Bombyx mori: one gene and its partners. The protein of the gene in region 3 interacts with the protein of the main gene of each other region in a biochemical or structural test. Links are inferred from orthologs where the notes say so. Each region holds a gene or a part of one and is shown on either strand. Other genes may lie near its edges. The genes, in order: ubiquitin-conjugating enzyme E2 C, Ubc13 and ubiquitin-like modifier-activating enzyme 1.

Region 1 (3,769 bases), on a different chromosome or scaffold from region 3:
GCCTGCAATGAAGACGAGCGTAACAGCAAGGTGGTGACAGTCGCCAGTGTCTACTACACGATCAGATTCGCAAACCCCTGAGAATATTATGCTTGAAACTCGGCACAGCCGCGGCCTGAAGTTATAGGCCACCTAAATCTCATGCCGAACTCTTCGACGAGCTCAACGAGCATCTACAGTTAATTGCCATTATTTATATTAAGACAATGTGTTAATTTTTAAACATAGAAAGCGAAAGATATAGAGATTTGTATAATAATATAGTTAATAAATACTAATCTAATTATAAGTTTACATTTATTCGTTGGTTAGTCGTCGCTCAAGCTAACCATTAACTGAAGTTAGTATAATTTAAGTCTAGCTGTAGCCATGGGCTTTGAGTAGCTCCTTCACTTTGAAGTAGAAACTCACTTTCCCACCAAAATATGAATAAACAAAAACGCGCCATGTTGTTCGGATTACCGCCTCCACTACAGATATTTTTGTACTTTATAGTTGGAGGAATTCACAGCTCACTCAAAACCCATAAGCACCCGACGTGAATGCCACTCTACCCAGCTTGGAATACTTACAATTGTGTTGTAGAGTTGCTATCCCATTTCAAACCAAGACACATCATGACTTAAATAGCTAGGGATTATCATGACTCAAATAGCAGGTAGCTATCCGTGCAGGCTCACTCTCTACGTACCAGTAATTACGAAGACTAGGTAATGATAAAATGAAATGAGATATGTAATTAATAAGATGAAATAATAAAATGTTTCAAAATGAAATTGTCTAGTAAACTAATCGAATATTACTCTGGCTAATCTTAATTTTTCATTTGGACATATTTATCTAAACTTAAACAGAACAAACAAACAGAACTAAAAAAATCAATACCTACCTAATCGCCTCTTTTATTCTAGTAATCCTATTTAAAATAGCATACAGGTACTATTACATTTAAAATGCGCAAACAATTTTTTAACTTTATCGGGCACATTGTATTAGGCAAAAATTAATACGTTTAAAATTTCATCGTCACATAAAAAGTACTAGGCCAAATTTAAAAAAGCGGGTAAATGAAATCTAAATTTTGAAAGCGATTATCATTTTGAAATTATTTGTGACATGAAATTATTTTATCCACATGTTATAGTATATTCGGATAATCTTATGTTTAAAACTATAATGTTCAGTTATTTATCTTGATTTGACCTATTTAACATATTTATTATGGTTTATTTCAGACCACCTTCTAACATATTCGAGATTAGTGTAAATCAGCATTAAATTATTTTTTCAATTGACCGTGTAGATGGCGCTTTTTAATACGTCAATCAAACAAAGGCCGCCATTACATTGCACTGTCAAATAACGAGATTACCAATAAAATCGTAGCTATTTCAAATTCAACAGGAAGTTGACGACGATTAACTGAAAAATTGGTGTCCCTTGCTATTTTAAGAAAGTGTTCATTTGATTTCCTTAAAATATTATGGCTCAAAACATCAATCCACATTACGCGTCGTCTTCGAACCCAGCTAAGCAGAGTGAAGACACGATTAAACTAAAAGACAATCATGCTGTGAGCAAACGGTGAGTTTTATTATTTTTACCACAACTTTTTCGTAATACCACGGCAAACACCCACGTAGACAACATACAATACAATTAGACTTGCGCAAAACATCACTTCCCAATGTAATGTGATATGACATCACTTTTACAGATAGGTGATATTACTCGAAAACATTACACATCACTCTTAACATTACTCGGTGCGTTCAAAGTGATGTGTATAAACACATCACTTAGGTAATGATTCGGGTGTATAGATACAATGTATTCGTCGTCACAGTATCTATTGAACGCACCGAGTAATGTTAAGAGTGATGTGTAATGTTTTCATCAATCATTACCTAAGTGATGTGTATAAACACATCACTTAGGTAATGATTCGGGTGTGTCATTACAATAGTGTATTACAATACAAAGTATGAACTTTGTATTGTAATACACTGTTATATTACTTGACAGATTGACTTACTTAATAATATAATAATTTTATTTTTTACTTAATATAATTTATTGTGGGATGAACGGATTTCATATGGCGACTTAGACTGCAAATTGAGCTCGACAATAATGTTAATATACGAGAGCAGTAGATGCATTGTTTCGGTGCGATATCCTCAAAAATATCCTCAAAAATCCAAGGAGGACTGTACTTTCATCTAAATGAACGTACGTCTAAACGCCGTTATTTCTTTCACTTATTAAACACGCATTAAAACAAATAATAAAACTATCTTCAAACAAGTGCTTAAGTAATTCAAATCAAACACAAAAATTAATATGAAATATTACTAAACAATTACGAGCGACTAGCGATTTTACAAAAGTTGCGAATAAAAAATTAAGTAAGTACTTGCGGGGAGCTACCGGCTGGCCGCATGAAAAATATAAACACAAATACCTATATTAAAATTCAGACGTACCATAGGTATAAAAATGTACCTAGCGGCCAGGACATATGGTTCAAAATCACTAGGAATAATTCCGTGTCGCTTGCTCATTTATTTTGCGTCGATCGGTCTGTCTCGCTCGCTCGGTTCCGTTCGTGTATTACACGACAAAGAAAGAAACATGTTGGGTGATAGTGTGATGTTTGTTTCCTTCGCGTAATGTGTGATGTTGCATTACATCGTAGAGTAATATTACCCGAGTAATATCACTCGCATTACTTACACATGTCTAAATACAATATATTTTGGTCCTTAGTATCGAAGTAGCGATTTGTGTCTAACGGTTTTTTTCCCACGAAAAAGTCTCGATTATTCTGTTCACTTGCATTATTGTTGGTTTGGGCTGTTTTAAGCACATTATGTAAATGATCATTTAGTGCATGTAATACAAAAGCGCCGAAAAAGTAAAAACCAAATAAAACTATTACACTTTACATAATGTGGTAAATTTAAAAGCACAGTTTTTAGCAGGTATAGGCATTCTCATTGGTTAAAGCGATAATTTTACAATAATTAATGTTCAGTAGGTAGGAATAAGTAAACTTTTTAAAAAGGTTTGTTAATTAGTCACCTTTTCTACATTAAATAGCATCAAGAGCCTTAGACCTTTAGACGCTTTCTAATTTGTGAGATTCTTAAATGTAAATTGTTTATATAGAATTACTTCTCTAGAACAATTACTACCATGTGAATGAATATACCTCCACCCAGAAAATATTGCAAGTGATATAAAATTTACACTCACACTACAACATCAGTCATTCCACATATGGCAGCATCCTATTTACCAAACAATAATTCTGCAAAAACAGAAATTTTATGTCATTACTGGTCAACTAACATTTCATTAGAAATGTTTCAAAGACTCACTACTTAATTAATAAACCTGCTATTAGATTAATGCACTTAAAAAAAACACTATATGCCATTACTTTTGTGTTATAATTTGCATAATTCAACTCATTTTATATTTCTTTTTAATAGACTCCAGAAAGAGCTAATGGAGCTAATGCGGTGCAGTGATAAAGGAATATCAGCATTCCCTGAAAGTGAAAACCTCTTCAAATGGATCGGGACCATCAATGGACCTTTAGAAACTGTATACGCAGGCCACAAATACAAATTATCACTTGAATTTCCAAATTCATACCCGTACGCACCACCTGTTGTCAAATTTATGACTCCGTGTTTTCATCCAAATGTTGACACGTGTGGTTTAATATGTTTAGATATTTTAAAAGATAAGTGGACGGCTT
Region 2 (2,922 bases), on a different chromosome or scaffold from region 3:
CAGCTCTAAATGTGAATGTGATTTGAATATTTTCTTCTTAACAATATAAAACTACAGTACAAATAATAAACTTTGATTTTGGTTCATAAATACCATCTATATTTTGTTATTATAAAATTTGAGTTATTATGGTCTAAAGCACTTATGAGCTATTGGTGGCTTACGACCAATATGTCATCACGGTTGCTTAATTCAATATGAAACAATCATTCAATCAACATTTCTGATATTACATTTTCGTTAAGTTGCAATGACAACTGTTCAGTTAACTTGTGTCTTTACTTAAATTTCAATGAACTAACAAACCTATACCCACTGACTGATCAATGGATAAGCACTTTATTTCTAGTTGAAATTCAGAGGTGTAGAGGTGAATTCAAAAAGATGTTAATTTTTCAAAGTTTGTTTTGTAACTGTTGTTGATAGATTCTTTAAACGTAATGACAACCATCATGCCTATTGATGCCATAAAGCAATCACCCTTTACTTAGAAGAGTTTGATAGCCATTGGTCCAATGTATTCAATATTATAAGAGCATGTTGCAAGGTATCAACGCGATTCCAGTAAATGCTTTTAATTTGTAAATTGCTACTTGAGTTTGGCCCTTATTTTAATTTAATGAATCCTATTTTGTGATGGTATTGCACTAAAAATAAAATATGGGTTAGCTTTTTGTATTTCATGTATTTTGAAGTTGCTCACGAAGCCAAATTAAAAATTTACATAAATACAATTTATTTTGATAATTTTTATACAAGACGTAAATAGTACAACATAAGATTCACTGTGAAATCATGTTCGATGTGGTTAATAAAGTGAAAATTATACCTAAATGCAATCATTGTTCTATAAAAAAAAAAACAAAAAACATTTCAATGAGAGATCAGTTAAATGATGTTACAATCAAATTTTAGTAAGACTGTGTCCGATAAGTCTCTGGCATAGATAATCAAACTTTGCAAATTGAAACTATCTTCTGTACAAAATTAATTTTAAACCAGCATAATATATACATTGAAGACTCCAGGTATATTTTCTTTATTCACTATTCATATTAATAGTAAAAAAATATGCATACCTAATATTGTAACCAAGCTACATGTGAATGGGTAAACAATGATCTGTGGGATCGCCTAGCCGTTCCGAGGCGAACAAGGTGAGGCAATGGATAACTGCAAAGGGACCGGCGCCGCGGCCCTCATCCACTAATAATAAAAATTTGATCCACAATAGTCTCTCACAAGTTACTCTGTTTAGGATGTGTAACATAACTTGCACTCATAAGTCGTGATATCTCGTTGGTCGTGTGGCGCGCACGGTCGGCACCGGTGCTCTCGTGCCGGCTATTCAGTTGTCCATGGCGTATCTCCGCGTCCACTCCTTCGCGTTCCTAATAGCTTCACTCTCGTTCACCTTCCACAATTCGGCAACGTCGTTCGCCAGCGGATCGTCAGGGTTAGGTGCTGACAGCAGAGCCTGAATAGACAGTAGCACCGTGCGTATTTGTAGAGCTGGACTCCATTTATCTTTAAGAATGTCCAAACAAATGCGGCCCAGTCGGTCTATATTAGGATGATATATTTTCGTGATAAACCTAACCTTAGGTGCCGACATGGGGTAATCCTCCGGTAGAAATAATTCTAATTTGAACAGTCCTCCTTCGAAAGGCGAGTCCTCTGGGCCCGTCACGATAACGTGGAAGTAACGGGCGTTTGTCTCGCTAGGTACTGCGCTGATCCCGGGCACCGGCTCCTGCATCAATCGCTGTGTCTCTTTGATTATTCTACGTGGTAGGGCTGCCATTTTAAATATGCGGTCGAGCGCAGTTTGTCAAATGGAAGCGATTACTCATATAATTGTATAAAATATCTAATTATATTAGCACTGAATGTGTTAACGACGCTTGTTGAGGCACGTTTCCTTATATTAATGAATTACAATAGCATTTTATCTACGAAATTGCAATAAACGCGACTACAAAAGCGAGTGTTCTTTAGTTTTTTTTAACCACAGATAATATAGATTTTCACCAACATAGACAAAATGTAGAATTTAGAATAGGGTGCGTTCAATATAGATGTCTGGAAAAAAGCCTTTTAAATAAACATGCATTAGTTTAAGACAACAAAAACAAATTGTTTATTAAAAGAATAAAATTCTGTACTAGGTTGAGTACCTGGGACTGAATAGGAATCACACAACATTGTTATACAACTTGTGCCGTGTTTGAAGCCTGCTAAAACTAACTTGTCTTGTTATACAGACTTCAATCTATTTAGAAGAAGGCGCAAAAGAGCTTATGAAAAAAAAGGGAAGAATGAAAGATGTCAGTAATAGAAAAATAGTAGAGAGGAAGAACTGTATTCAGCCCTTAATATAAAATCCAAACAGGAAAGCGTGTTTAATTGAAGAGAACCTACATGAAAGTTGTTAAAACTGTTTCGAAAGTTTCGGAACTTGTTTTTTATTATATTTGTGTTTTATATGCTTCTGAATCTTACGTTTCTACCGAGAGTGAATGGCGCACATGATTTTTTAAAAATGAGAGTTACAGGCTGTTCAAAATTTTATGAAACGTATATTTTTTATTCAGCTGACAGAAAATGATAAATGTGAAAAACGTAGGCTCGTAAACAAATTAGTATTTATTATGAACCTATTGTGAAAATGTTATTTTAATGAACAGATCTAAATAAAATCACTTAGGACCGCGGTCAGCGACATCTAATACAGTTTTAAAAATGACGTGATGTCAGCTACTCGTCAACAGATGTCTAATTTTGTTTCATTAAATTTAGAACATCTATGTGTAGAATCTTCAGTATTAAGACAAATTCTCGTTATCAATGACAAATAAGGTTATTATATCATCGATATATTATAGACATATTATATTTAACTTAACTATCTTAATATGGTTG
Region 3 (2,680 bases):
ATAGCAAGCAGCTAAGCAGGGCGGGGTATCATTCCCCTACAACCTTTTACTTCATAGTAACAGGAAAACATTTTGGAAGGGTTTTCATTCTAAAATTTGTCTGTGCATGTTAACTGATATTAGGAAACATTGAATGAGAGAAGGCGTAGTACTTTAATATAGTCGTTACTCTTGCATAGCTGTATTGAAGGGCAGTGATCAGGTTATTAGGTAGACAGTATGTTTACTACGAGTAATAAAAAATATGTTATATACACTTACTCGCACACTCTCAATAGCATCCAAAGGCTGAGTACCAGGCAATTTAAGACAGCGGTCCAAGAAATTCGGGTCCTGCAAGTATTGGGCAGCATGCTCAGCAGCCTGACGGAATAAACCTTCGAATTCATCGCGAGCCCATTGTAGTGTGTGTTCAATGGCATTCGGGAAGTTCTTGAGCGTACAAATAGGAATACTCTTCTCGGGAGGGTCCTGGGATGAGCTGTAAGATTCCGTAAGGAATGGAACAACCACCTAAAACGTAAATTACTGATGTATTAATGTTATTTCTTTTGATATGATTATATCTTGCTTAATATTTTCTTTACTTATATATTATGAAATATTATTGATTTATGTTTAAAAGATTGTGAAGATTCAGATATCAGTATCAAAACAACTTTTTTTTAATTTACCAAGTTTGAATAGTTAATGATACTTAAAAATCTTTGTGTTTCCAGTATAAGTACTAGACAACGTTAAATCAATTCATAACTATTATTTTCTCTTAGGGTTCTAATTTATATTTGATCATTAACCAATTAATTTTATTCAACGTTTCATGTTATTTCAAATTGTATCTCAAATGCTTTTGATTTTACTAACCTGTGTATTTCCTTTAGTTCCAAGAGTGCCACTCTCCAATAAAGGTTTTCTATAATACACACACCGTCTGTCCATGTATATACGGGCGTCGACATTGTCGAGTGCATTGGCTACACCATCCAATGCTTCAAAGAATGCATCATTGTAGACGGACTCGGTCTCAGGGCAAACTCTGTTTTCTTGTGCCAAAACATTTACTGCTGGATTCATGCGTTTAATTACCTATGACAAAAAAAATATATTAAAAGTATTTGAGTATTACAGTATATATTTATAGTTACTGGTGGTAGAACCTCTTGTGTCTCCGCACGCGTAGGTACCAACACCCTGCCTATTTCTGCCGTGAAGCAGTAATGCGTTTCGGTTTGAAGGGTGGGGCAGCCGTTGTAACTATACTAAGAACTTAGAACTTATATGTCAAGGTGGGTGGTGCATTTACGTTGTAGATGTCTATGAGCTCCAGTAACCACTTAACACCAGGTGGGCTGCGAGCTCGTCCACACATATAAGCAATAAAGTAAAAAAAATATATATTGTGTAATATCTGAAACCAACTAGGGAAACATTAAAACTTAGGCGAGCAAAAACATTTATACATTGAATTTGAAACTAAACTGAAATTCACTGGTTCAGGGAGTAATCTCGAAGCAAACCCTGTGTAGATGGCTACTCTTGTGCTCTCTATAGCAGTACACAAGTGATCTCAAATGTCATTACGAATCCAGCAACTTACATTAGCTGCAGTACTAGATTTCGGTTTCTGTACATCATAAGGCCTAAACAAGAACTGCCTGTTGAGGTTAGACTTCTCAATGAGGTCCATATCCGTGACTGTAATTTGTCCTCCATCAGCACCCACACCAATCATGGCAAAGTTCTTTAATAATTCACATCCGATAGCACCAGCACCTGAAGAGATAAACTTCATATGATACTATACTAATATTTTGTGTAGCTTCATACAGATAGTTCATATTGACTATTATTCATTAGTAAATTACCAATCTTGAGTTTACAGAATTATTTATGTTCCATATATGTAAGAGAGCACACAGGTTCCATAAAGTTGAGTGTGAAACCCTTTTTTTTTTTTTTTTTTCCTGGCCGAGGGCCGAACCTCCTACGAGGTCCCCGCGCCTAGGGGGCGCGCGGGGTATGTGAGACTCAACGATCTGCAGGTGTTGAGAGCAGACCGCGGGCCCACCCACTAAACGACTCCCCTGCACTCTTACACCTGGCGTCCGATCTCCGTCTGGGGTCAAAACCCGGTCAGAGTAGGGGGGTTCCCGCGGTCAACACTACAACCAGACACGCGGCGCCACCCCGAGGACGCCCGACCGACGGGTCGTCGAGGCGATAGTCGACGACCAACGACGTCAGTCTTACTTTTTACTTTTAATTACTTATTACTTTATGTTGCAATTTCCCAAACAGCATAACATATTTACAGAATAACTGATGCTAGAAAATTTTGTCAAGTTCCAAGGGATGGTAACAATATTTGTTTGCAGATTAAAAATACAGTGTGTGATATAAATTAAGACTAGAATAGATATCAGTTGACCATGGGAGCCTTTCACTCCAGAATAGTCTTGCACATAAGGAGAATGACAATAATTATCATTCTCCTCACGTGTCAATCAATCAATCCTTTTAAAAGTGTTCAGAGTCCCAGATACTCACCCACAATAAAATACTTCAGCTGTCCAAGTTTCTTTTGGAATTCTCTACCAAAAACAGCTACCTGTCCATCATATCGTGAACCGACTGGTTTGCAATTTTCTTCGGTGAGAGTTGAATGGTCTTTAGGTAAGCA

What was found.
Region 1: of the proteins of ubiquitin-like modifier-activating enzyme 1 (region 3) and ubiquitin-conjugating enzyme E2 C, one has a biochemical effect on the other in vitro, tested with the Homo sapiens proteins (5 studies listed by BioGRID, with this or other methods). The link is inferred for Bombyx mori from reciprocal best matches to the Homo sapiens genes UBA1 and UBE2C.
Region 2: of the proteins of ubiquitin-like modifier-activating enzyme 1 (region 3) and Ubc13, one has a biochemical effect on the other in vitro, tested with the Homo sapiens proteins (10 studies listed by BioGRID, with this or other methods). The link is inferred for Bombyx mori from reciprocal best matches to the Homo sapiens genes UBA1 and UBE2N.

What each region holds. Positions count from the first base shown.
Region 1 is NC_085126.1:12,142,968-12,146,736, reverse strand, and holds the start of ubiquitin-conjugating enzyme E2 C, read left to right. Parts: upstream 1-1,238; 5' UTR 1,239-1,483; coding exon 1,484-1,584; intron 1,585-3,497; coding exon 3,498-3,769. UniProt on the Homo sapiens protein: Accepts ubiquitin from the E1 complex and catalyzes its covalent attachment to other proteins. In vitro catalyzes 'Lys-11'- and 'Lys-48'-linked polyubiquitination.
Region 2 is NC_085111.1:2,343,801-2,346,722, reverse strand, and holds Ubc13 (ubiquitin conjugating enzyme E2), read right to left. Parts: upstream 2,031-2,922; 5' UTR 1,805-2,030; coding exon 1,349-1,804; 3' UTR 669-1,348; downstream 1-668. UniProt on the Homo sapiens protein: The UBE2V1-UBE2N and UBE2V2-UBE2N heterodimers catalyze the synthesis of non-canonical 'Lys-63'-linked polyubiquitin chains. This type of polyubiquitination does not lead to protein degradation by the proteasome.
Region 3 is NC_085114.1:15,610,713-15,613,392, reverse strand, and holds part of ubiquitin-like modifier-activating enzyme 1, read right to left. Parts: coding exon 2,548-2,680; intron 1,774-2,547; coding exon 1,598-1,773; intron 1,087-1,597; coding exon 865-1,086; intron 514-864; coding exon 262-513; intron 1-261. UniProt on the Homo sapiens protein: Catalyzes the first step in ubiquitin conjugation to mark cellular proteins for degradation through the ubiquitin-proteasome system.